Caenorhabditis elegans: one gene and its partners. The protein of the gene in region 1 interacts with the protein of each later gene in a pairwise test. Each region holds a gene or a part of one and is shown in the gene's direction. Other genes may lie near its edges.

The links. The genes of interacting proteins can lie anywhere in the genome.
Region 2: the proteins of dro-1 (region 1) and jmjd-3.2 interact in a two-hybrid assay, tested with the Caenorhabditis elegans proteins (one large-scale study listed by BioGRID).
Region 3: the proteins of dro-1 (region 1) and hda-11 interact in a two-hybrid assay, tested with the Caenorhabditis elegans proteins (one large-scale study listed by BioGRID).

Annotation. Positions count from the first base shown.
Region 1 is NC_003281.10:13,339,657-13,345,627, forward strand, and holds dro-1 (Protein Dr1), read left to right. Parts: upstream 1-3,027; coding exon 3,028-3,444; intron 3,445-3,526; coding exon 3,527-3,664; 3' UTR 3,665-3,951; coding exon of another isoform or gene 3,952-4,006; 3' UTR 4,007-4,056; downstream 4,057-5,971. Other genes in the region: F53A2.3 (Phosphoprotein), read right to left, coding at 23-104; nud-1 (Nuclear migration protein nudC), read left to right, coding at 1,874-1,977, 2,025-2,883; ife-1 (eIF-4F 25 kDa subunit), read left to right, coding at 3,952-4,006, 4,168-4,633, 4,680-4,854; acaa-2 (3-ketoacyl-CoA thiolase, mitochondrial), read left to right, coding at 5,303-5,315, 5,386-5,538, 5,589-5,971.
Region 2 is NC_003284.9:14,444,654-14,454,438, forward strand, and holds jmjd-3.2 (JmjC domain-containing protein), read left to right. Parts: upstream 1-3,556; 5' UTR 3,557-3,576; coding exon 3,577-3,688; intron 3,689-4,251; coding exon 4,252-4,491; intron 4,492-4,677; coding exon 4,678-5,168; intron 5,169-5,803; coding exon 5,804-6,509; intron 6,510-6,954; coding exon 6,955-7,142; intron 7,143-7,188; coding exon 7,189-7,781; intron 7,782-7,837; coding exon 7,838-8,029; intron 8,030-8,653; coding exon 8,654-8,735; 3' UTR 8,736-8,914; downstream 8,915-9,785. Other genes in the region: F23D12.4 (F-box domain-containing protein), read left to right, coding at 349-464, 919-1,471; F23D12.7 (Neuropeptide-Like Protein), read right to left, coding at 8,953-9,002, 9,050-9,179.
Region 3 is NC_003283.11:10,522,801-10,529,315, forward strand, and holds hda-11 (Histone deacetylase 11), read left to right. Parts: upstream 1-3,383; 5' UTR 3,384-3,509; coding exon 3,510-3,520; intron 3,521-3,588; coding exon 3,589-3,813; intron 3,814-4,010; coding exon 4,011-4,121; intron 4,122-4,167; coding exon 4,168-4,259; intron 4,260-4,325; coding exon 4,326-4,438; intron 4,439-4,994; coding exon 4,995-5,149; intron 5,150-5,197; coding exon 5,198-5,336; intron 5,337-5,437; coding exon 5,438-5,596; 3' UTR 5,597-5,644; downstream 5,645-6,515. Other genes in the region: xpo-7 (Exportin-7), read right to left, coding at 1-27, 78-483, 535-623, 669-736, 779-1,433, 1,483-1,944, 1,995-2,822, 2,872-3,009 and 1 more; F25D1.3 (Interleukin-17), read left to right, coding at 5,964-6,095.

The DNA of each region.
Region 1 (5,971 bases):
AAAATATACAAAAAAAACCAACCGTAATTCAATGAATTATTCAAAGTTTCTTTGCACTCCTCCAACTTTGCCAAAACGTCCAGAATAGTTTCTCGGGAAGCCATTGTCTCCTAAAAAATAGGTTAAGTATTATTATGAAACTGTATATAATTCCAGTAAAATCTATGATATTTTATTTTTGAGCAATATGTAGAAAAATGCACCTCTGCTAAACTAAACATTAAACATAAACTAAACGAACATTATCATTGAATATCGAAAAAGTGTATTCAATTTTTTCAGATATTACAATTTTCAACTACAACCGGACCATGTGGAAATTTGCGCGGAAAGAAAAGGAGAATGTGTCCCGCAGGGGTAAGAGTCATTGGTTTCGTTGAAATCACGTTGAGTGGGTGTACCATCTGTTGGGGAAATTCTCTCCCCCTGGTCCGGTTCTGACATAATCTAGATTTTTCGAGAAAATCAAGTTTCAGTACATACTAAATTTAAAAAAGAAGCTAATAAATTAATGAGAAACTATGCAATCAGCTTTTTAAATAGTCTATCGAAAACGGTTTACTGGTGTTTTCTTTCTTCTGTTTTTCAATATTCTATTACATTAAATGTTCCTATAAACTAATATTACATAGACGTTTTGAAAATGGAGAAATTCGCCATACTTGACGCGCAAGGTCTCGCAGTGAATGCTCTTTCTCTCCGTCTCTTCGCCACATACTCTCTCACTGCCGCACCGCTTTTTTTTCAATAAAACAGGGTAAATTTAGTGAATTGATTTGAAACTCTATCTGTATTTAAAATAATAATAATTATTATTAAATTATTATTAAAAAAAGTGTGTCAACATCTATTTTAATTATGTTAACTACTAAACATAAATAAAATGCGTATTTTTTTGCAAGAAAGAAAAAAAGGCCGCGTAAAAAGGGAGACACAAATAGTGTTCTAACTAGATTCTCAACGCGATGCGTAGTCTAATATGAACGCAGACATACAAACAAAAACGAGAGGTGACCTCGTTTCCAATCTAATTAGCCATGCTAGCGTGTACTGAAGTGTCGAACGTCTAATTAGAAAAAAGCAATTAAGCATACGTAATGGCTTTTCTGTCTTTTTTGGAATAATTTGTAAATGGAAAAGTGAACTTAATCAATATTTAAGTTGGATTTATTATCAATAGAAAGTTTCAAAATGGAAAAGGTCTCGAAAAATCCAATTTCTAAGCGTGTGCATTTTTCTCTTTGATTAGCACCATCTGTTCTTCAATTAGACCCGTTTTTCTCTTTAACGGGAGAAATAGTAATGCACTAGGTAACTTATTGCTTTTTTTTTCTGAAAATTACTTTGAATTCAAATTTGAATTTTTAAATTTCAAATCAAACTACTGTAGCATCGAGTTTCGCGTCAGCACGAGAGTTGCGCCAGTCGCCGCGCCAAGGCGCCTAGAAAAAACGGCGCTCGCAATTTATTTTCAATTTTACACATTTTCTCTCCTAATTTATCGATTTTGCGGGATTTCGCACAGATTTTCTTTGATTTTTCAACTATTCTCATTGTCCCAGAAATATAATTGAGCATTATGAGCCACCTGCTTTCCCCAGGCACTTGCAGTATCCATGGGAACATGGCGAAAATAGGATTTACCAGAAATTTCGAAATAACTCAATTTTTCTAGTGATATTTGTCAAAATAAATGGTTTTCTAGTTTGTAAAATAAGTTTTTAACTAGATTAAGTAGAATTTGTCCTGTAATTATTGCGAAATAACTATGTTTCTTGATTTTAGGCTCTATTTTCAATAATTCCGGATTTCCTAATGTTTTTCTTCGTTTTGGAAGTAGTTTTTATTAATTAATATATTTAAATTTCAGAAAATGTCTCAATATGAGCGATTCGACTCGGTGCTGCTCTCCATGGCCCAACAGCTGAGCGGCGGAGTGCCTGAAATGCTTGATGTACTATTTGAATTTCTTTCGAGGTAAGAAATTTTTTCAAAGTGCTTAATAAATACATGTTTTGTTTCAGAAAGACGGATTTCTACAGTGGCGCTGGTGTCGATCAAGCCCGGACCCTTCTCCTCGAAAAATTCGATAAACACGGTGGAAAGGCTATGAAGGAAGCTGAAGAAGCCAAGAAACGGAAGGAAGAGCAGGAGAGGAAGCTTGCTGAACGAAGAGCTGCACAAAAAGCTAAGGAAGAGGAAGAGTTCCGAAATGCGAAAGTCGTGGAAGTCACTGATGAGGAAGCGGCCGCGTTTGAAAAGGAACAGGCTAAAAATTCTGTTGAAAATCTTGAAAAATTCGTCGATAACGAAGGAGAAACATCGAAAGACGCTGAAGTCGAAGATGAGGACAGTAAGCTCATGAAACCAAATAGTGGAAATGGTGCGGATCTTGCCAAATATCAATGGACTCAAACACTCCAAGAACTCGAGGTGAAGATTCCAATTGCTGCTGGATTTGCTATCAAATCTCGTGACGTTGTCGTCAAAATAGAGAAGACTTCAGTATCTGTCGGCCTGAAGAATCAAGCTCCGATTGTCGATGGAAAGTTGCCTCACGCCATTAAAGTAGAAAATTGCAACTGGGTAATCGAAAACGGGAAAGCGATTGTCCTAACTCTCGAGAAGATCAATGATATGGAATGGTGGAATCGATTCCTTGATTCCGATCCTCCAATCAATACTAAGGAAGTGAAGCCAGAGAACTCGAAATTGAGCGACTTGGATGGAGAGACACGTGCCATGGTCGAAAAGATGATGTATGATCAGAGGCAGAAGGAGATGGGTCTTCCAACGTCTGATGAGAAGAAAAAGCATGATATGCTGCAACAGTTCATGAAACAGCATCCTGAAATGGACTTCAGCAATGCTAAAATTGGATAATTCTGTGAATTTTGTGAGATTTGTTCCGAAAATATTATATTTATATTCGCATAAATGTACTCAGTTTGATATTAATTTTATTTCATCTTTAAACTTTTAATAATGTATTTCTCATTCCTTATATCTCTTTTAGATCCCTTAAAAATGCAGTGCTTCAACACAATTTTCAGACTCTTCACAGATATGGATGAGGACAATGAAATCGGACTTCCACAGAAAGGTATCAACCAAATTATCAAAGAAGTTGTTCCTGAAATGCGAATCGCCAACGAGTCGAGAGATATGATCAATGCTTGCTGCGTTGAGTTCGTGAAGCATATTGCGAGAGAAGCACAACGAATTGCGAGCCAGGATCAGAGAAAAACAATATATCACGAACATGTTCAGAAGGCACTGCAGAATTTAGGATTCACACCAGATTATCTCGAGGCCGCCGACAGTGTTCTCGATGCCTGCAAGGTTGAAGCCGAGAAGAAGCTGCGAAGGAAGAACTCTCGTCTTGAAAAATGTGGTATTCCAGAGGAAAAATTGTACGAAATGCAACAAGAATTAATTCAGAAGGTAATTTTTTGAGGTTTTCAAAAATAATTTTGTTTTTATAAAACAAACACTCATTTCCTCAATGTTAATATTTATTTTACAGGCACGCCAACAAGAAATTGAGCAGCAGCTTGCTCACCAACAAGCACAAGCCGCGGCGGTAGCAGCCGCAAACGCACAAATGTTTGGAGGACCATCAGAGGGCTCTTTGGCTCCAACCGACGATGACTACGACAACTAGATTGTTTTTCTTCGCTTTTTTTTTCTACGGGTTCTCATTTTATTTCTTCATTTGTGTATTTACCTTGATTCATCATCGATAATTTCTAAATCTCTTTTTAAAATTGTTGTACTATATTCCACCATTTCCTATTTTCCCCGTGAATTTTTTTACTGACCCGCTCCATATTTCAATGGCACGTCATTTAGGGCACGATTAGTTGGCGTTTTCCCCAGTTGTTCTCGGCTTCTCAGATCAGTCCTGTTTTTGCCTTGCCAGTTGTCGAGGTGCGAAAATTTTAAGCGCAAATGTCAGATTCTGAAATAGCATTTGAGAAGCTGAAAATCTCTGGGGAGAAAGAAGGTGAGCCATTCCCTTTTTCATTATCGTTTGAGTACTATAAATTATTCACAAAAAAACTGTTTCTCGCCGTTTTGCATCACTTTTTTGGTTCCACGTGCCCATTTTTATTTGCATTCATTTATTCTCTCTGTTTACTGATTTTACTAATCGAGTTCTTCCAGGTATGACTGAAACGGAGCAAACGACGGCACCCATTTATCCGCTGAAGCGTAACTGGACGTGGTGGTATTTGAACGATGAGCGCAACAAGTCTTGGGAGGATCGTCTGAAGAAGGTGTACACCTTCAACACCGTCTCGGAGTTCTGGGCTCTCTACGATGCTATCCGTCCACCAAGTGGCCTCAACGCGTTGTGCGATTACAACGTTTTCCGTGACGATATTCAGCCGATGTGGGAGGTTCCGGAAAACTCGAACGGAGGACGCTGGCTCATCGTCATTGACAAGGGAAAGACTCCCGAAATGGTCGATGCTATTTGGCTGGAGATTCTCATGGCTTTGGTCGGCGAGCAATTCGGAAAGGACATGGAGTCGATTTGTGGGTTGGTGTGCAACGTCAGAGGAAAAGGATCGAAGATCAGCGTCTGGACTAAGGATTGCAACGATGATGAAACCAACATGAGGATTGGGTATGCATGTCTATTTTTAATTCTATCTTGAATTTTGGAATTTCAGAGTTGTGCTGAAGGAGAAGCTGATGGCCGCATCCAAGGACCACTCAAAGCCACTGTTCGATGTGATCCGCTACGAAGATCATGAGAGCTGCCAGAAGAAGACCAGCTCGGTTGTGAAAGCCAAGCTTTCATTGCACTCGTCCGATGCTCCAGTCGCCGAGAAATCCGCCGTCTAAAGCAGACCATTTTGTATCTGCTCTACTTGTTTTTTAATTACACCCGTTGCTTGGCTAGTATTTCACTCGTTGTTTTGTGATTGGTTTAATAAAATTGATGAAAATTAATTGTATTATATTGCCTTGTGGTTTCCAGGCCCAATTTTGTATCTTATTGTAGTGTAGAATGTAGCCTTTAGGTCAGAGAACAAGTAGCGGGAATGATGATAAAAAAGACACCGCGAAAGTCGGCCATTCTGCTTCTTTTTCGTCTCTGCGTCTCTTCTCTACCTATCTTATCGGCCCAACAAACAACCGAAAAACTTTATTTTTGTTCAAAAGCCCCTCTCAAAATAATTATGCAGTTTTCTAAATGCCCTTTTTTTTAGGTTTTTTCACCTCTTCCTAATAATTTGTTACTACTTATAAGAACGTTTTTATTTACAGAACCACACAAATACACTGCAAAATGGCAGGAAAATGTGAGTGGGGGTCAAAGTCCATGGTCGTTGTACTAATAAGTGATCAGTGATGTTTATATTATGTCTGCAGGTGTGTTCATCGTCGGTGCCAAGCGTACAGCATTCGGAACTTTTGGTGGAAAGCTGAAAGGATTGAGTGCAACTGATTTGGGAGTCGTCGCTTCTCAAGCAGCGCTGAAGCACGCTAATGTTGGAGCAGATGCCGTCGATCATGTCATCTTTGGTAGAAAGATTTTATTTTTAGAATGATTTAAAGAAAACCTCTAATTTCAGGAAACGTGGTTGCCAGCTCTCGTGATGGAATTTACCTGAGTCGTCACATTGGACTCAAATCTGGAGTTCCACAAAACGTCGGGGCCCTCACTGTCAACCGTCTCTGTGGTTCGGGATTCCAAGCAGTCGTGAATGCAGCTCAAGCTATCAAGCTCGGCGAGTCCAACATTGTTCTTGCCGGAGGAACCGAAAACATGTCAATGGTGCCATTCGCTGTTCGAGATATTCGTTTCGGAACTGCACTTGGAAAGAAGTACGAATTCGAAGATATGCTCTGGGATTCTCTCAGCGATCCGTATGCCAAGTTAGCCATGGGACAGACTGCAGAGAAGTTGGGCGCACAATACAAAGTTACCAGACAAGAAGCCGACGAATTCGCTCTG
Region 2 (9,785 bases), on another chromosome or scaffold:
TTCTAGAGACATTTTATTATTTTAGCAGAAAATGGGTAATTTTAACTATTTCCTTCACTTTTCTCACTTCGTTACTTCAGCTTTATAAGTGAAATCCCAAAAAATTAAAAGAAGTAAATTCAAACCAAAAACCAATTTTTAAAAATTTTTTAAGTCTTCATTTTCAAATCTCACCAACTTTCACTGCCTTTCACCAATTTTAACGTTTCTCTATTTTCCTTTATAACATACTCAACTAAATGTTATTTTTTGAACTCTGTATGTAATGTTGCCTTGTATTAACTACCATTTTCTTTAATTTCTCACTAACTGTCTTCTAATGTCATAATTTACCTATTTATTTTCAGAATGAAGAAGGGTTTGACAAAAGTTGCATCGAAGAAAACCGAGAAACCGTTTCTGCTTGAAGAGTTGCCTTCATTGCCACTCGGTGATATTGTGAAACAATTGCCAATGTTCGAGCTGTAAGTGTTTATTATCGAACAAATACGATCGCACAATGTTCTCATAATTTATTTTTGATCTACCTTGTTGACTAGGCTCATTCCCTTCCTTTGACAAGACAGCCACAACAAAATAACAACGGCAACAAGATTGGGGGCGGGGTCAAGTTCAGCAGGTAGATCAAATATACATTATGAGAAGTTTGTGCGATCGTATTTTTACAATAATAATATAACATTTTAAGTAGTTGTTTGTTTGATTTCCTAGAAGTTTATCTTGAACTCTGAACAACTAGTACATTAATTTGATTGAAAACTCTCAATATAGAGAATACAACCAAGTTTTTAAATTAAATCGCATATCGCACTTCACCATAAATCTGAAAGCGACTTGGGAGCAAGCTACCCAGGTCGCTCTCTCAATATGTCCTGCCTTCGCAAGCTTAAATTCAATTCAAATACGGTTCATTTTTAGCGTGAAACTGGCGTTACTATCTCAAAAAGCAAAGAGATGGGTATTGGAGCACTCGCGTCGACATCTTGTTCAATTGACTGTCAATCTCGGAGAAACGTTCATCATCAAAATCGGATATGACGGAGAAGCAACCAACGAGATTGTGAACATAAAACTGGATGATATGCCTCCAAAGAGGGTGTATAGAACTAGGAGCTCAACGAGACTGCCAATGAATTTATTGAAAATTGACCCCATTTTCCCATCATGCTGCGCCAAAAACACCTATGGAACTCGAGTCGAAACAGTGAAGTATTTGATTAAATACTTTTCAAAGACGTTCAAGATGATCTCGATGGAACTCACCTTTGATAAGCAGCCCGACGCTGTGATTCTTGATATCATCAACCTTGTGAATCATTTGAAAATCAAAATGGATACTCTGGCAGTTGCTGGAAAGAACAACAGCGACGAAGTGTTCAAGTGCATCATTGATGAAGTTAGCCGAGTTTCGTCTCTTCAAATCTGGGGATTCCCAAATGGCGAAAGACTGTTGGGCTTGAATGATGATTAAAATTTTCTGAACTTGAATAACTTTTGATAATTTTTTGTTTCTAATTATAAGGTCAAATGTTAAGCCTCAGTAATAAATCCATGTATTTCTTTCCTCTTCCATCTGTTTTTTTTTCGTATTCCTCACTTTCGCTTTTCCCATTTTTAGATATCCTATAAATTATCAAAAAAAGTTCAACTAATAAAATATTGTCCATAATTACGTCTACTTGTATTTAACTGTTTAAGTTGCTTACCAGTGTCATGACAAGAAATACAGCGGCCGACATCTCGTGAGCCCGTTTTTGACAACTTTTACTGATTCGGCCGTATCTCGAAAACTAATTTTTTTCTGGAAATGTTTTTGAAGAAAAATAATCTTCATACTACTTGCCATCATTTGTGCCTACTCACTTTGTTTTGAAAAATTCAGCAAAAAAGTTATGGAAGTGCAAACTAGTCCCTCACTTGGCACTGCTCATGCTGTACAACCAAAAATCAGGTTACTTACTTCGAATATATTTTTTTCGAGCATTTTTTAATAATTACAAATGTAAAATCACAATTAAACTTTATTTAAACACGATATCAAAATTCAGGGAAAAAAAATTCTTCACTTGCGAGAAATGCTCTAGTTGTAGTCGTACACTATTCAAGTTTAATCTATCATAACTTTTTTGCTGAATTTTTCAGAACAACGTGAGAAGACACACATGATGGCAAGTAATATGAAGATTATTTTACTTTGCCAACACTTACAGAAAAAAAAGTTTTCGAGATACCGGCAAATCAGTAAAAGTTGTCAAAAACGGGCTCACGAGATGTCGGCCGCTGTATTTCTTGTCATGACACTGGTAAACAACTTAAACAACTGAATACAAGTAGACGTAATTATGGACAAAATTTCTTGAGTTGAATTTTTTTCGATAGCATGTCCAGTTTTTAAGTTGTGCTCGTTTGAAAAACTTGTAAATTTATCAAAAATCGAAAATTGGATAGAATTATGGCCGGCACTGTATGTAAGACCTTCAAAACGTGCTCCTCTAATCCGTTGCTGTTCGGTACTCTTGTTACGTGTTAAGTTGGGACAAGTTTCCTAGCTACTCATAGTTTGTCTGCACTCTCCTAGTGACGAGAAAAAGATGAAAAGATAATCTCTCAAGGAAAAGCAGATTAATCAACAAAGCGCAGCAGAACTTTCAAATTCATTTTAGTTAATAAGTATACGATTTCCGGTGACCGAATATATGTAGTTGGTTTGTGTTGTATTTTGAATTCTGGTATATAAAATATAAGTAATAATATATAAGTAACCGTTTGAAATTGGAAAATTTTTTCGACGCAAACTTTGCCAGTGATATGTTCAATGAAACATGCTAGTTTGAAAAAATTAAGCATACAAGCACATTCCTATAAATAATTTGGTGGCCACCTTCTGTTATGTTTTATCAAAAATTAGACCTCCCGGCTATTTTGTTACAATCGAGCAGACACCCCCCCCCCCCCCCCCCCACGACACCTGTTCTCTTTGAGCACTCCATAACGTGGGAAGGCACATCTTGCGTCATATGTGACCCGACAGTCTCCTACAAAAATATGGGAAACGGGGCAGATTGAGTGATGATGTAACTTGTTCTGCGCAGTCTTCTCTGCCTGTTCTCGACCTTTTTGCGAGGATTGGCTCCAACATACGTTTTGCACCACTTCTCGATGTTTTTTAGTTTGTTTTTCAAAATTAACATATAGTTTTTCATCAATTTTAGACAAAACTAATTCATTCAATTAATTTTAACATGAAATGAAATATTCAGAACTTAACTTTAGTTGTTTTAGAATAATAGGGTATGCATTGTTAAAATTACAAAAAGTGAGATTTATATCCAAGTCTTTAAATTTTATTGTATTGCAGTTTTGGGATTATTTTAGATTTTTATTAGGAAATGCATGCAATTTTTGCAATTATTGATAGATGTACAGTTTTTAGTGTGTGTGTGTTTTTTGTTAATTTCGAGGATTAATAGAAGAAAAATCCTCTTTAAAATTTGAGTTCACACTTTTTTCCACTAGCAATATTAATTTTGAATATTTTGATCACGAGCAATAATTTTTTCAGGATTTTTTCAAAAGATGGATAGCGGTGGCCAAGGTTCAGGTTCACAAGACCAATTCGAAAAAACAGAACAACTCGTTGATGCACAATATCCAGTTCCGACAACATTGAAGCCAGATTTTTTCACAGGTGAACATTTTAATTTTGTGTTAATAACACGATCATACAATAAAAAAGGTTTGTAAACTGACAGGAGACGGAATTTTCATATCGAGAAATTAAAAAAATCCTTTTTTTCAATGTAAAAAATCTATATTTGAAATTGATTTTCATATGACTAGTTTTTTTTTCAAGCGAAGCATTATATTATTCTTTATATACATTTAAAGGTGGAGTACTGCCAGTGGAGAAATTGTTAAAAACCACTCGTTTGGTCACAAAATGACCAAATATCATGATAAAACTTTTCAAAAATTTTTGAAAATTTATTATTTACTGTCAAAAAGTGGCAATTACTCAGTTTTTGCCACTCATAATTTTCGAAGTCGACCAAAAAAACAATTTTTTCGACATTTTTTATGTTCTAATTTTGTTTAAATTATTTTTATTAAAATATTGTAGGGGTCGCAACATGCGGCATTTCTTTAAATTTCCTCAAAAGCTAGTAGATTCTCCAATTGTCAGCACAAATGATTCTGAACCAATTAATGAACAAGTTTATTCAACACAAAGTAATCATGGCGAGCTTCAAGATAAAACCGAGATTGATGAAAGAAATCGAGTGGATCAGTGCTTCGATAATGATCAACCATTTAACGGAAACAATTCAAAACTGTTAGAATCCGAGTCTCATAAACTGGGAGAGTCGTCAACTGAACCTTCAGGAACAACAATATCATCAGGAAATTATGAAATTGCTGAAGACTGCTCGGATGAGACAGAGCAATTCATCGATCCAGACAATCAAGTTCCAGCAGCAAATTTTATTACCAGTAAGCTTAAGATTTCTTTGAAAAATGTGCTCATTCAAACATTTTCTTCATGCAACTTTTTTAGTAACTTTTTCGGATGGGAACTGAAAATTATAAAACTGTGTTGCGTGTTTGCAGAGATTTTAAATATTGGGCTAATTTTTTTCTAAACAAAATGTTTTTTGAATTAATCGTTTTCATTTTCAGACGACTGCACAACAATTGAACAAACTGCAAAAATTCAAGAAGAAAGCGGAACAGATTCTTTGATTGTCAGCACAAATGATTCTGGTTCAACTAATGAACAGATTTTGCCAACACAGAGCAATGATGCTGACTTTCGTGAAAGAATTGAAATTGACGGAAGAGATCAAGTGGATCAGCATGGCAACAGTTATCCACCAATTAGTGGGAACAACTCAAAATTGAGAAAATCAGAGTCTCATGAACAGGGAGAATTTTTAGTTGGACCTTCAAGGAAAAGAAAGCCAGAAACACTAATTGAAACAAAGAGTAAGAAAAGAAAATCGGCGAGAGGAAGACCATCTAATAAGTTGAATCAATTTCAAATACATCAAGTTAGTAGTGACTGGAACGCGAACGCATTTCTTCAGTTTGCTCGACGAGACGCAGCTGGTACGATTCTAGAGTCGGAAGAAGCGAAAAAAACCATCGATGCACAGTTGGAACACTTTTCGGTATGTTGTTTCAATTAATATTAAAAAAAAAAAGAAATAGCACTTTAATAGTGTTGTAAACCTACTGACCCTACTGATAATGAACATGAAATTTCAATATAAACGAAATGTGGCTCAATTTTAAAATATAACGTTTAAATGTCAAACGCTATGTCAAACTTAAGTTATAATCAAAAAATTATTTTTTTTCCAGAAATTTCCTAATTCTTTTGGAATCGCATTAAAGATAGGAACAATTTAATAACTTTTTAATAATTTTCTAAATGTTAGAAAAATAAATAAATGAATTAAACTATTATACACACTACCAAGTATGCTCGTTGATATCATAAATTTTTACATATGCATTGTAAACATAAAACAAAGACCAATTTGAAAAGTTCAAATTTTAACACAGAACTTAATAGGGAGTTTTTTAAAACTATGTATAAAATGCGATCGGTGCGATCGGAAAAAAGTTGAACGTACTATTTTATAGCAGACATTTTGAGCTCGCATAATTGATAATTGTTTTCAGCGAAAAACTCAAACTTTCAGGTCAAAATTTTTTGTCTAAGACAGGACGTTGTAGGACGTTGTCAAAGCAAATTACAAATTATGTATATGCTTTTAACAAAACTTTAAAATATTTGCAGGAGCCCTCGTGCTCGACGGATGTTTCGGTTCATGTTGTCAGAGACAACGAGAATCTGGGCTTGGTGACAAACAAACTCCGATCGCTAGCCATTCCACCAATATCCAACCTTCCCAGTGATCTGCCTTCATTATATAAACTCCCGAAACTGTTTCTAACCGGAGCGACTTTTATGGACGTCTCAAAATCAAAAGGAAAACAAGTTATTACGAAAGCAAGCAAATGGATCAAATCTGGCAAAAATCTCGTATACGAAACATCTGGCTGTTCTGAACTATTTGATGAAACAACAAAATTCAACACTGATGGAAAGATTGAAGAAAACACAAGTGAAGAATACACAAATAAAGATCAATACAGGTTACCTGTTCCTATCTATAATATTGAGAACAACAGCGATGAAACATCAAATTTTATTAAAAATATCGTCAATACCACAACCATGTGCATCTTTCGAGGAATCGAAGAAGCATTTGGGATGGATCGCCAAACGTTTGACATCTCCACATTGGCACCTCTCTACCCCGATTACCCATTGAAAATTCGTCGACAGATGCCCCAGTCATCAGCAACCAATTTCTACATGAATGACAAAAATACCGTGCAGAGATTGGGAAATGCCTGGGCTGTCTTCGATTTTGAAGGAGTTACTCAGTTGAGAGATTTTGCGAAGAATTATGAAAGCCTTAAGGATATAGGAAGGTCAGGTACGTTTTTGAACTGTTTTTTTTTAATTCTTATTTAGCGAAAGATATTTGAGTTTTATAAGAAAATAAGTATCTTATAAAACCCAATTTCAAAATTTTTAAAGATTGGTCTAAAATTCCAGTCAGCTTTGAAAACCAAATTAGCGAAAACTTTTCAAAAGATTTCCAGGAGTTTTGAGCAAAATAAAGCAACGTCGCAACCATTTGAACCTCAATGGCATCCCAATGAAAATATTTGAAAAATATTTAGATTTTGAAATTCGTATAAAAAAAAGCACTTACTTCATTGTCGACCTTTAAATTATGGGTAATCAGAACTGAGTTCTCGCCAATTTTTGACTCTTAATCAACCCACTTGGGAACTTTTTTGATAAGTTTTAATAAAAACTAGAGAACTTCCAAAGTTTATAAAAATCATTAAATTTGTTCACCTTTCATTTTTCAGCTTACCAAGCTATCCTACGCAATCCTTCCGCATTTTCGGAAGTAATGGATGACATGAAGAAGCAAATCAAGGAAAATACGATCCCACTCAGTCCTGAACACAAACTTACAGTCCATGAAAATGCGACAGTGTTGGCATTTGGAACTAATATTGATCTGGATGATCAGCGATTCAAGGAACAGCTCGATGTATGTCGTTTAAAGTTAACGGTAGATAAATAATCATTATTTTCAGGAGATCAAAAAATTGCCTGATTGTTTGAGACCCGACGGAGCCGGGAATCTTCTCAACTTTGCTCAAGAGTCACTTGCAGGTCTGAACAAACCTCAAGTTTATTGCAAGCCTCCCGGAGCAAGAACCACAGCTCACCTGGAGAACCAAGCTCTCGGGTCCATTAACATTAATCATGGACCAGGTGATTGTGTTTGGTACGGAGTGCCCATGGAGTACAGTGGCAGAATGGAGGTGCTGATCAAAAAGCATCGACTTAATGTTTATAAAAGCGGGTACTGGCCAAGTGAGCAGGAATTAAGAAATGAAAAGATACCATCGCAAAAGTTTCTACAAAAGCCTGGAGACATGGTGTACGTCGGTATTGGAACATTTCATTGGGTGCAATCTAATGATTTTGCAATAAACGTCTCCTGGAATGTTGCACAACCAACTTTTAATCAACTGGCTGCTGCAATGGTCATTCACGATCACAACATCTCGAGTAAAGCAACTACTCTCATGCCTATTGAGCCAATTGTCTGGAAAATGGCTGAAGATGGAGTGGAGGCAGAGGATGAGAATATTTTCCTGGCTCGAAAGGCTATAATGCTAAAGTACGGTTTCGTCACAGAATCATAATACTAGATAACTAATTAATTCAAAATTACAGAAGTTTGGCAAAAAGCCAGTTTGAGTTCGATTTCGCCATTCAGGAAAATATGCTCATCAGATCAGCAAAAAACGAGAAATCGATCATCCCTGTTGAGCGATGCTCTATCCAAAAATGCCGGGAAGTTCTGTTCAATATGATCACACTTGACAATAAGCAAAATCCATTCTGCCTTAATTGCATAGTTAAAGGGTGAGTTGCATTTTGTGAAGAGTGATAACTGATAAATGCGGAAGAAGGGATGTATTGTTTACTCATCATAGAAAATTTTTTTGTATTTTTTTTTTCGAATTATCATTTTTTTATTGCATTTATCGGTCGTTTATCCAACGTTTTTTCGTTGAATAACGTATATTCAAACCCGATGGAAGGCCATTTTTTGGTGATTTTTGGTTAACTATCTTGAGATTATCTACCAAAACATGCAATTAAAAAACAAAAGCTCAAAAAAGTCAAATTTGTGACCGTTGCGTCACGGAAAAATCTCCCAAATTAGAGAATTTTTCGTACGAAATTTGTTTATTTGAGTGCATTTTAAGTATATATGTTCAAACATGTAGACCACTTTTATTTTGGTTAAAAAAGTAAAAAACACACGAATAGCAAGATAAAAATAGTTTAATTGGTGTCAAAGTGTCGCATTTTGGTTTCTTCGGGAAATGCGAGAGAAGAGACGGAGATTTTTCAGCTGATTTCGCATGGCTATACGTGTGCTGACGTTACATTTTTCTGGAAGAGAAATTCCCGCATTTTTGTAGATAAAACCGCAATGAAACAGCCTGACACCACGTAATAATCTAATATTTAATTTTCCAGAAAAGTCAAAGCAACAGCATTTCAAAGGCGGGACATTGCTGACTTGGTGAAGATATTTGACGAGTTTAAATGGGTGTCCTGAAACTTTTCTTTTTTTCAACTTTCGATCCTCAATTTTCACAGCTTTCTTTTGTATTATACAATTCTTGCACATTTTGAATCACTTATCGTTTTATTGATCTTGTTTTGATTTTTTATTATGCAACATTTTTCGATATGATCAATTCTGTTTAATAAAGTCCAACTTACTAATTATAAAAAAAATTTATTCTTACATACAAAAAAGAAATCGAAAATGTTTAGTTGCATGGGTTGACAGATGGACGTGCTGTGGCCATTGGCATATTATCTGAAAATAGGAGTTTTTGATTTTGTATGCAATTATTTTGAAATTACTGAAATCCTCTGGGTCTTGTGGGTAGCGAAAATCTTCAGCGTTATCAATATTTGGAATTGGTGCGGACAGAGAGATCCCAACGAGCAAAACCATGAAGAGAGTCAAGAAAGACAGTAGGAAACGAAACATTTTCTGAAAGATGAGATTGGGTTAGGAAAAAAAGAAACACGAGGAGTTCGGTGAAGAAAAATCAGACAATGACGAAAAGATGTTTTCAATGTTATCACACAAAATGTTGAGGTTGAAGCAACTGCGGCGGCAGTTGTCAATTTTCCCGGTGACATGTAAATAAAAGAGTTGGTGAATCATACAATTTGATTTCTAGAGAAACGATTGAAAATATATTCTGTTTAGAAACCTGACTTAAAATCAAAACCTGAGTTAAAATCATGTTAAAAATAAGTATACAATTAGGAAAAGAAAAACAGGTACATATATCTCTCCAATAATAACCGTCAAACTACAGAGGTTTTGAGTGTATTTTCCCTTCTCGCCGTTTTTGTGGTTCAGGGCAACGGCCAGAGCAGTGATGCAACTGTGCTTCTGTGCTGCTCCATATACTTCAGTTGCTGATCAATCCCAAAATTTTCTCATATTGCTCTTCTATTGACTACTTCTAAAAATTGAAAAAAATTAAAAATAAATCATATTCTCTGTCAGTCTTGCACCCATTTGAGAACTTCTGTAATTTAACGTTTGAGAAAATAAAACTATTTTTTTGTTCCGAGCTTAGTG
Region 3 (6,515 bases), on another chromosome or scaffold:
ATGATTTTGTGCTATCTTTGTATAGCTCTGAAAGAACGCATTATTTAATTTTAGCATAGGTCGTAATATGAACTGACGTGGAAATCATCTTGGGGAATACTTGTGAACAACTTCACAAACGTCGTAAGCGCATCCTGAAGACAGGAATCACCATAGAGTCGGAATACTCCAAAAGGTACATAAGCTCCAATAAGCGCATTCTTGAGAATCAAAAAAATCACTCCAATATTCTTGTATCTTTCCTTGTATACTCTGTCTTTCGATACTTCTGGCAGTTGAAGAAGCCTTTCTCCGTAAATCGAAACAATTTTTGAAGTTTCTTTGAAAAGAAGTACAGCTGAGCACGAACTCATTTCGAATTTCAATCGTTGCTGTCGATTTTGAACCATTTCGGAGAGAAGTCGAAGAATTGGAGTAACGACATCAGCACATCCAGGCCATTTTTCTACCGAGAACTGCATAATATTGAACACTTCTGGGTACCTGGAAAGAAAAATAATTGAAAAATAATAAATATTTATAGGAAAAACATACATCCATTCGAATAGAATTTGGAAGATAGTTTTCGTTGTTGATGCTATTGCCACTCCTCGAAGATCTCGACACAGTCCAGTAATAATTTTCTGTAAAAAGTTTGTTTTAGTTTTGAAAACGTTCATTTTTATAACCTTTAATTGTTCTTCTTCAACTCCTTGGCAATTATTCTGGATCACAGTGCAAATTCCTTCAACTGTATCTGAAAAAAGTACATTTGAAAATCAATTGGAATTGAATCTACCTGTAAGAGGACGAAGGAATCTTTGAAGCATTTCCTCGTCGTCCGAATAATCCGTTGTTAAAAGACGCGTTAGTGCTTCGTAAAACGTCGTTCGCTGTTTCATTGTTTGATAATCAATATTTGGACCAAGAAACATGAAATGATCGGCAGTGTGATTGTTCAATAGAAGCTGAACTTCTGGTAAACGGAATAACTTTCGAACTGCAGAATATCCAAGCGATAAATCCTTGAACAAAGATAGGGAAAGATCCAAGAGATCAGAGTTGGACGGCCAGAATTTCAGATTTGTGAGAATCTTTTGTACAATAACACCTAGCATGTCAGACTCTTCCGTAATACGCAGTTCTGCTTCAAGTGTGTCGTAGACTGCACTGGCTCGAGTGATTTGATCCATGATATACGCACGACGGAATTGCTCAAGCATGTGAATAAATGAAACTTCCAGTCGAAGATTTCCTTTCAGTGGAACTGTATTATTTGACAACTGAAGCCGATTATCATTGAATCTCATAACTGTTATACATCGGGCAATGAGTTCTCCGTCCATTTTATCGTGAACATCACTGCTTGTTGCTGTCGTCTTTCCGAACACAGCAGTTCCGATCAATGTAATCAACCAAACGAGACGACCTTCGGCAATCGCTGTATTGGCATCCTGTAAATACAAATTATAAGTTTCAAAAAAAAACAACTAAGTGTCTTACATTTTCAGATCCATTCATCCAGATGTTGGCATTTTGATCAAAGTGTTGAGTGAGAAGTTTACATGTGTTTTCATATTCGCATCTACATATAATCGCAAGATGTTCCATAACTTGAAGGGTTGCTCCTTGATCATCTAATGGATTCTCAGCTCCTTCTCTGACAATGCTCTCAACGTGTTGTAATCGACTCTCGACGAATGCTGTCATGATTTCTGGACAATAAACGTTGAGAAGATGCTCATCATTATTTCGAACATATGGAACAGACGTCACCATTCTCTGCCAGAATGTCATAAGAAAATATGTACTGTTGGCTGAGAACTCCATCATTCGTAGGCTTTGTACAGTGAATTCCGCGAGTAACCTTAGCATGTGACTGTAGCAGGGAACAGCGATGAGCTCGCACAGCTGATAATTTGTTTTCAGACGAGCAATCAAACGGCAAAACTCGTGGAATGCGGCCTAAATCAGGTATATAAATATGTTTGCCTTTAATTTTTCATTATTCTTACCTGGTCACTAAGCTTCCCAGGGTTCATAATTACACTGACAACTCCTTCAACAAGTTTTTGAACGTAAGCCTGTCGCTCTGTTCCATTGAAAAGCGTTCTTCGAATACTTGCCAATTGAGCTATTATTGTCATCACTTTTTCACTTGATTCTTGTGGAAGCACATTTAAAAGTTTGAACATAAGCTGTACAATTTTTCCATCAGTAAAACTTGCTCTCCATGCTGTTGGGATTTGCACATTACAGTTGTCTTCACTTGTTTCGTCTGTCAAACTTCCTATATAATCAAAAAGTAGACATTGGAGATTCAAGTTGAGAACCGCGTGAAGAAGACCCAATTGGCGATCGTTCAGATTTCTGTCCACATTATCGTTCAAAACATTCAGAGATACCGAGAAAATCTCATATAAAAAATCGTCCCTGAACTGCGAAAGATTCTTGCGATGTTTGTTAACTGAATCCATTCCCGAAGCTGAATTCATGTCAGCAACGAGTAAGGTTAACAGTTGCACGGCCAGCATACTTTCCTCGATATTATCCATGTTGATTGTTTTGACAAGGCTATCAACCGGATCACGAAATGGATATTCAATTTTTGTGTCTTCTGTTTGATTTTCTGTGGGATTTTGATACGTCCATTCTTGTTTCGTGAGTCTTGCAAAAAGTTGGCAAAGTGATGTGACGAGATATGGAGGAAATTGAGGTGCACCTTGACCTAGCATTTCCAATAAATATTTTGCAAGCTCGAGCTTCTGAACAGAAGTGATGCTAGTTTTTCCGCCGAGAAGTTTCATTAGTGTGGTGCTTGCTACCATTGGTCCGTATGGGTACTGAAAATCATTATGTAAATTGTTTAACACTTTTATTATTTCGACTTACATCTCCTCGTGCAAAGAGAAGCATGCATCTTTGAAGGCATTCGGGTGACTCTGACAGTTCCGCAAGGTTACTCTCGGCTCGGTGTCGGGCTTGCGGATCGACACTCTCATATAGATCTTTGCATAGACTGTTTAGTACCTAAAATAAGATTAGAATGCACATTAAGAATTTTGAAAATGCTAACCGGTAATTCATCCATTTTTGAAGACTTCGAATCCGCTGTTCAGCGATTCACTCCTAAAATATCCAATTCAGAAGTAATTATAGCTTGAGAAAGAGGAGAAAAATGTTTTGAAAAGCAAAAAGAATGTTTAAAACGGATAAAATTAATTCGGCGTCTTCCCACCGTTAATTGTTTCGAAAAACTGCAAACTTTGGTGATGATTTGAGTTTCTGAAAGACGAAACATCTTGTCCTGGTGAAGTACACGGCGGATGGCCGATAAAAAAGTTAGGCCATCCTTTCTCATCCTACTCTACATCCCACAGGCTCTCTCGCCACAATTGGCATCTTTTGGCAGTTTCCACTATTTTCAGAATTCGTTATCTGTTTTCTGATAACAAAAACAAGAAAAACAGAATCTTTACGACTACTTCTTTATTTATCCGCTCTAACCACTCATTCTACGCAGATTTTGAATGGCAGAGCGGTGAGTTTTGAAATTTAATCTGTAGTACAACATGCAGTTGGAAATGCCAAAAATATCAATAATTTCAGAGATAAAGATGAAATCTTTAGTTTAAAAAGTTATCAACGTCCAATTGTCTATCATTCTGAATATAATGTAACTGCATTTGGAATCGAACATTTACATCCATTTGATTCTTCGAAATGGAGAAGAGTCATTACACATTTGAAAGAAATGAATCTGATCACTGATGAAACACTCGTTGAGCCAAATCTACCGACATTTGAAGAACTCACTAGAGTACATGATAGAAAGTAGGCACATGAAAGTGTTGTGAATGTGATTGAATCGTGGAATTGGTTTATGAAAAAATCATGTTTGTATGGCCCCATACTTAAATTGAAAGAAAATAATTAAGCTCATAACGTTTATAGTTGACATTCTAAAAAAAAGTTAGATGAGGCGTTCAACAATTTCAACTAATAAAAAAAATTTATTCATATTATTTTAGATATCTGAAAAGTGTTCGAAATCCTATTAAAGCAGCACAAATCGTCGAGATTCCATTTGTCGGTTGCCTTCCACCGTGCATTATTGAAAGCAAGTTATTGCATCCACTACGGTATCATTCCTAGTAATTGTTGTATTCATTTATTTGTGTTTTCCAGTTTACAAGCCGGTGGAACAGTTTTAGCTGCCAATTTGGCTCTAAAACATGGTTGGGCGATCAACGTGGGTGGTGGTTTCCATCATGCTTCTCGTATGTTTTTGTTATTCCGCAAGAAAAATAGACGCTATGGGATTGTACAGCAGCCTATAATTTCAGATTCGGGCGGAGGTGGATTCTGTTTTTACGCTGATATCACCATGGCAATTTTCGATTTGTTTGACAAAAAGGCAATTGCCAACGCGATTGTTGTAGATTTAGATGCTCATCAGGTACTGGAAAAAACATTTGAAAGAATATAAAATACCGTATATTTTCTATTGATGCGTGCGGCACCTTCACTGCTCAACTTTGACAGCATATAACTCAAAGGAACACGTGTAGTCAGAAAATCCCATTCCGCTTTGATCTTCGAAAAATGCGGGAGTTGAGACGCAGACATCTCATTTGATTTGGAATGGTTAAGAACGTGCTGACGTCACAATTTTTCTGGGAAAAAGTCCCGCATGTTTTGTAGATCAAACCGCAATGAGACAGTCTGACATCACATGAAGGAAGTATTTTGCCTAAAATCATAGATGGCCGATATCTGAGCTTTCAAAGTTAGAATTGTCCTCAAATTTTAGCTACCTTACAGTTACGTTAAGAATTCTATAGACTACGGTATCATTTTGGAAAACCATTTGGAACGTGAATGAAATATGTCTAGCCCGTAAAGATATTTCTCAAATATTAGATATTAATTCGAAATATTAATCACAATATTAATTGTTTAAAAAAATTATTAAAATTTAAGAATCCAATTTTTTGCTTGAATCATACTTTAAGGGAAATGGCCATGCACGAGACTTTGCTGACAATCCGAATGTGTTTGTATTTGATGTTTTCAATCCATATGTCTATCCACATGATCGTGAAGCTCGTCAATTTATTAACAGAGCGGTTCATGTAAATGGTCATACGACTGATACTTCCTACCTCTCGTAAGTATTCATAGCGGCTTTCTGCTTTCACTGACCGACTTTATTTAGCGAATTACGCAAACAACTGGCACAGTGTTTAATTGATAGAGAGAAAACTACTCCTCCTGGTTTCGATTTCATTATGTTCAACGCTGGCACAGACTGTCTACTTGGTGATCCTCTGGGAGCAATGAAATTGAGTCCACAGGTGTGTGAAAGCAAGGAATATTGTTATACGAGTTTGGTATTTGGTGTATAGTCTATTTTGAAATAAGATGTTGCATATTTTTTTGAAAATCAAATTTTCAGTGCATAATTGCTCGAGACGAAGTTGTGTTCAATCTAGCAAAATCAAAAGGAATTCCAATTTGCATGGTAACCAGTGGAGGGTATCAGAAGGACAACGCGCTTCTCATTGCAAAATCAATTGAAAATCTCCAGTCAAAGAATCTCATCAGTATCAAATAAAAAAGTTATATCAGCATATCTTTTCCTTATAAATTATTTTTTATTAAACTATTTTTTATTGTTTAATGGCAGGGGAAACTAAATAGATAGAAGGATCAAGTTCAAAATTTCATTTTAAAATCGAATGGATGATTTTGAAACATTCTATATCAACCCGATTCCATTAAAAATAAAACAATCCAAAATAATACAAAGTACTCTGAATATGAACTTTTCCTAAAACTTTCAATTTTTATGAATCCTCGACTCCTCCCAAATTTTCACTTTATGTGGATGTCACTAGGTCATCATCGGGTAAAGGGTCACACAGAGAGACACAGTCATTTCTCGCCTATATCTTTTATTTGATTCTTCTGTCGATTGCGACATGATTTGCTTCCGTACAGCTTTCATTTTAATTCTTGGAGTAGTGATAGGCACGACAGCAAAACGACACAATGTTCGAAGGCATGTCAATGGTAAATGGACTGATAAACATTGTGAAGAACCACCTAGTTTGGTTAGTTTTTGTTTTTTTAATTGAGAGTAAATAGTTTCACTAGCATGTTCTGGATATTGTTAGATATTTTTACATAGATTTATTCAATAAGTGTGTAAATATGCGTGAAAAATGGATGAAAGTATAACCCAAGTGTAAGTTTAGGAAAATCTCGAAAATCGGCCAAAAAGTCATATAGATATTCATGTTTATCCCCCATCAGTCTAAAATGACCAAATATAAAAATTGAAGTTTACAGAAAATTGTTAAACTTTAAAAAAAATTCAATTAACTTCTTGGTAAATTGCCAAATTTTCAACACAAACAAGAACTGGACTATTTGAGAAATTCGGAACAGTGCTTTCAACCTATACAATGTTTAAGTAAAATAAATTTAAACGTGATTAAAATAATCCAATATTATTTTTCGGTGAACTTCCA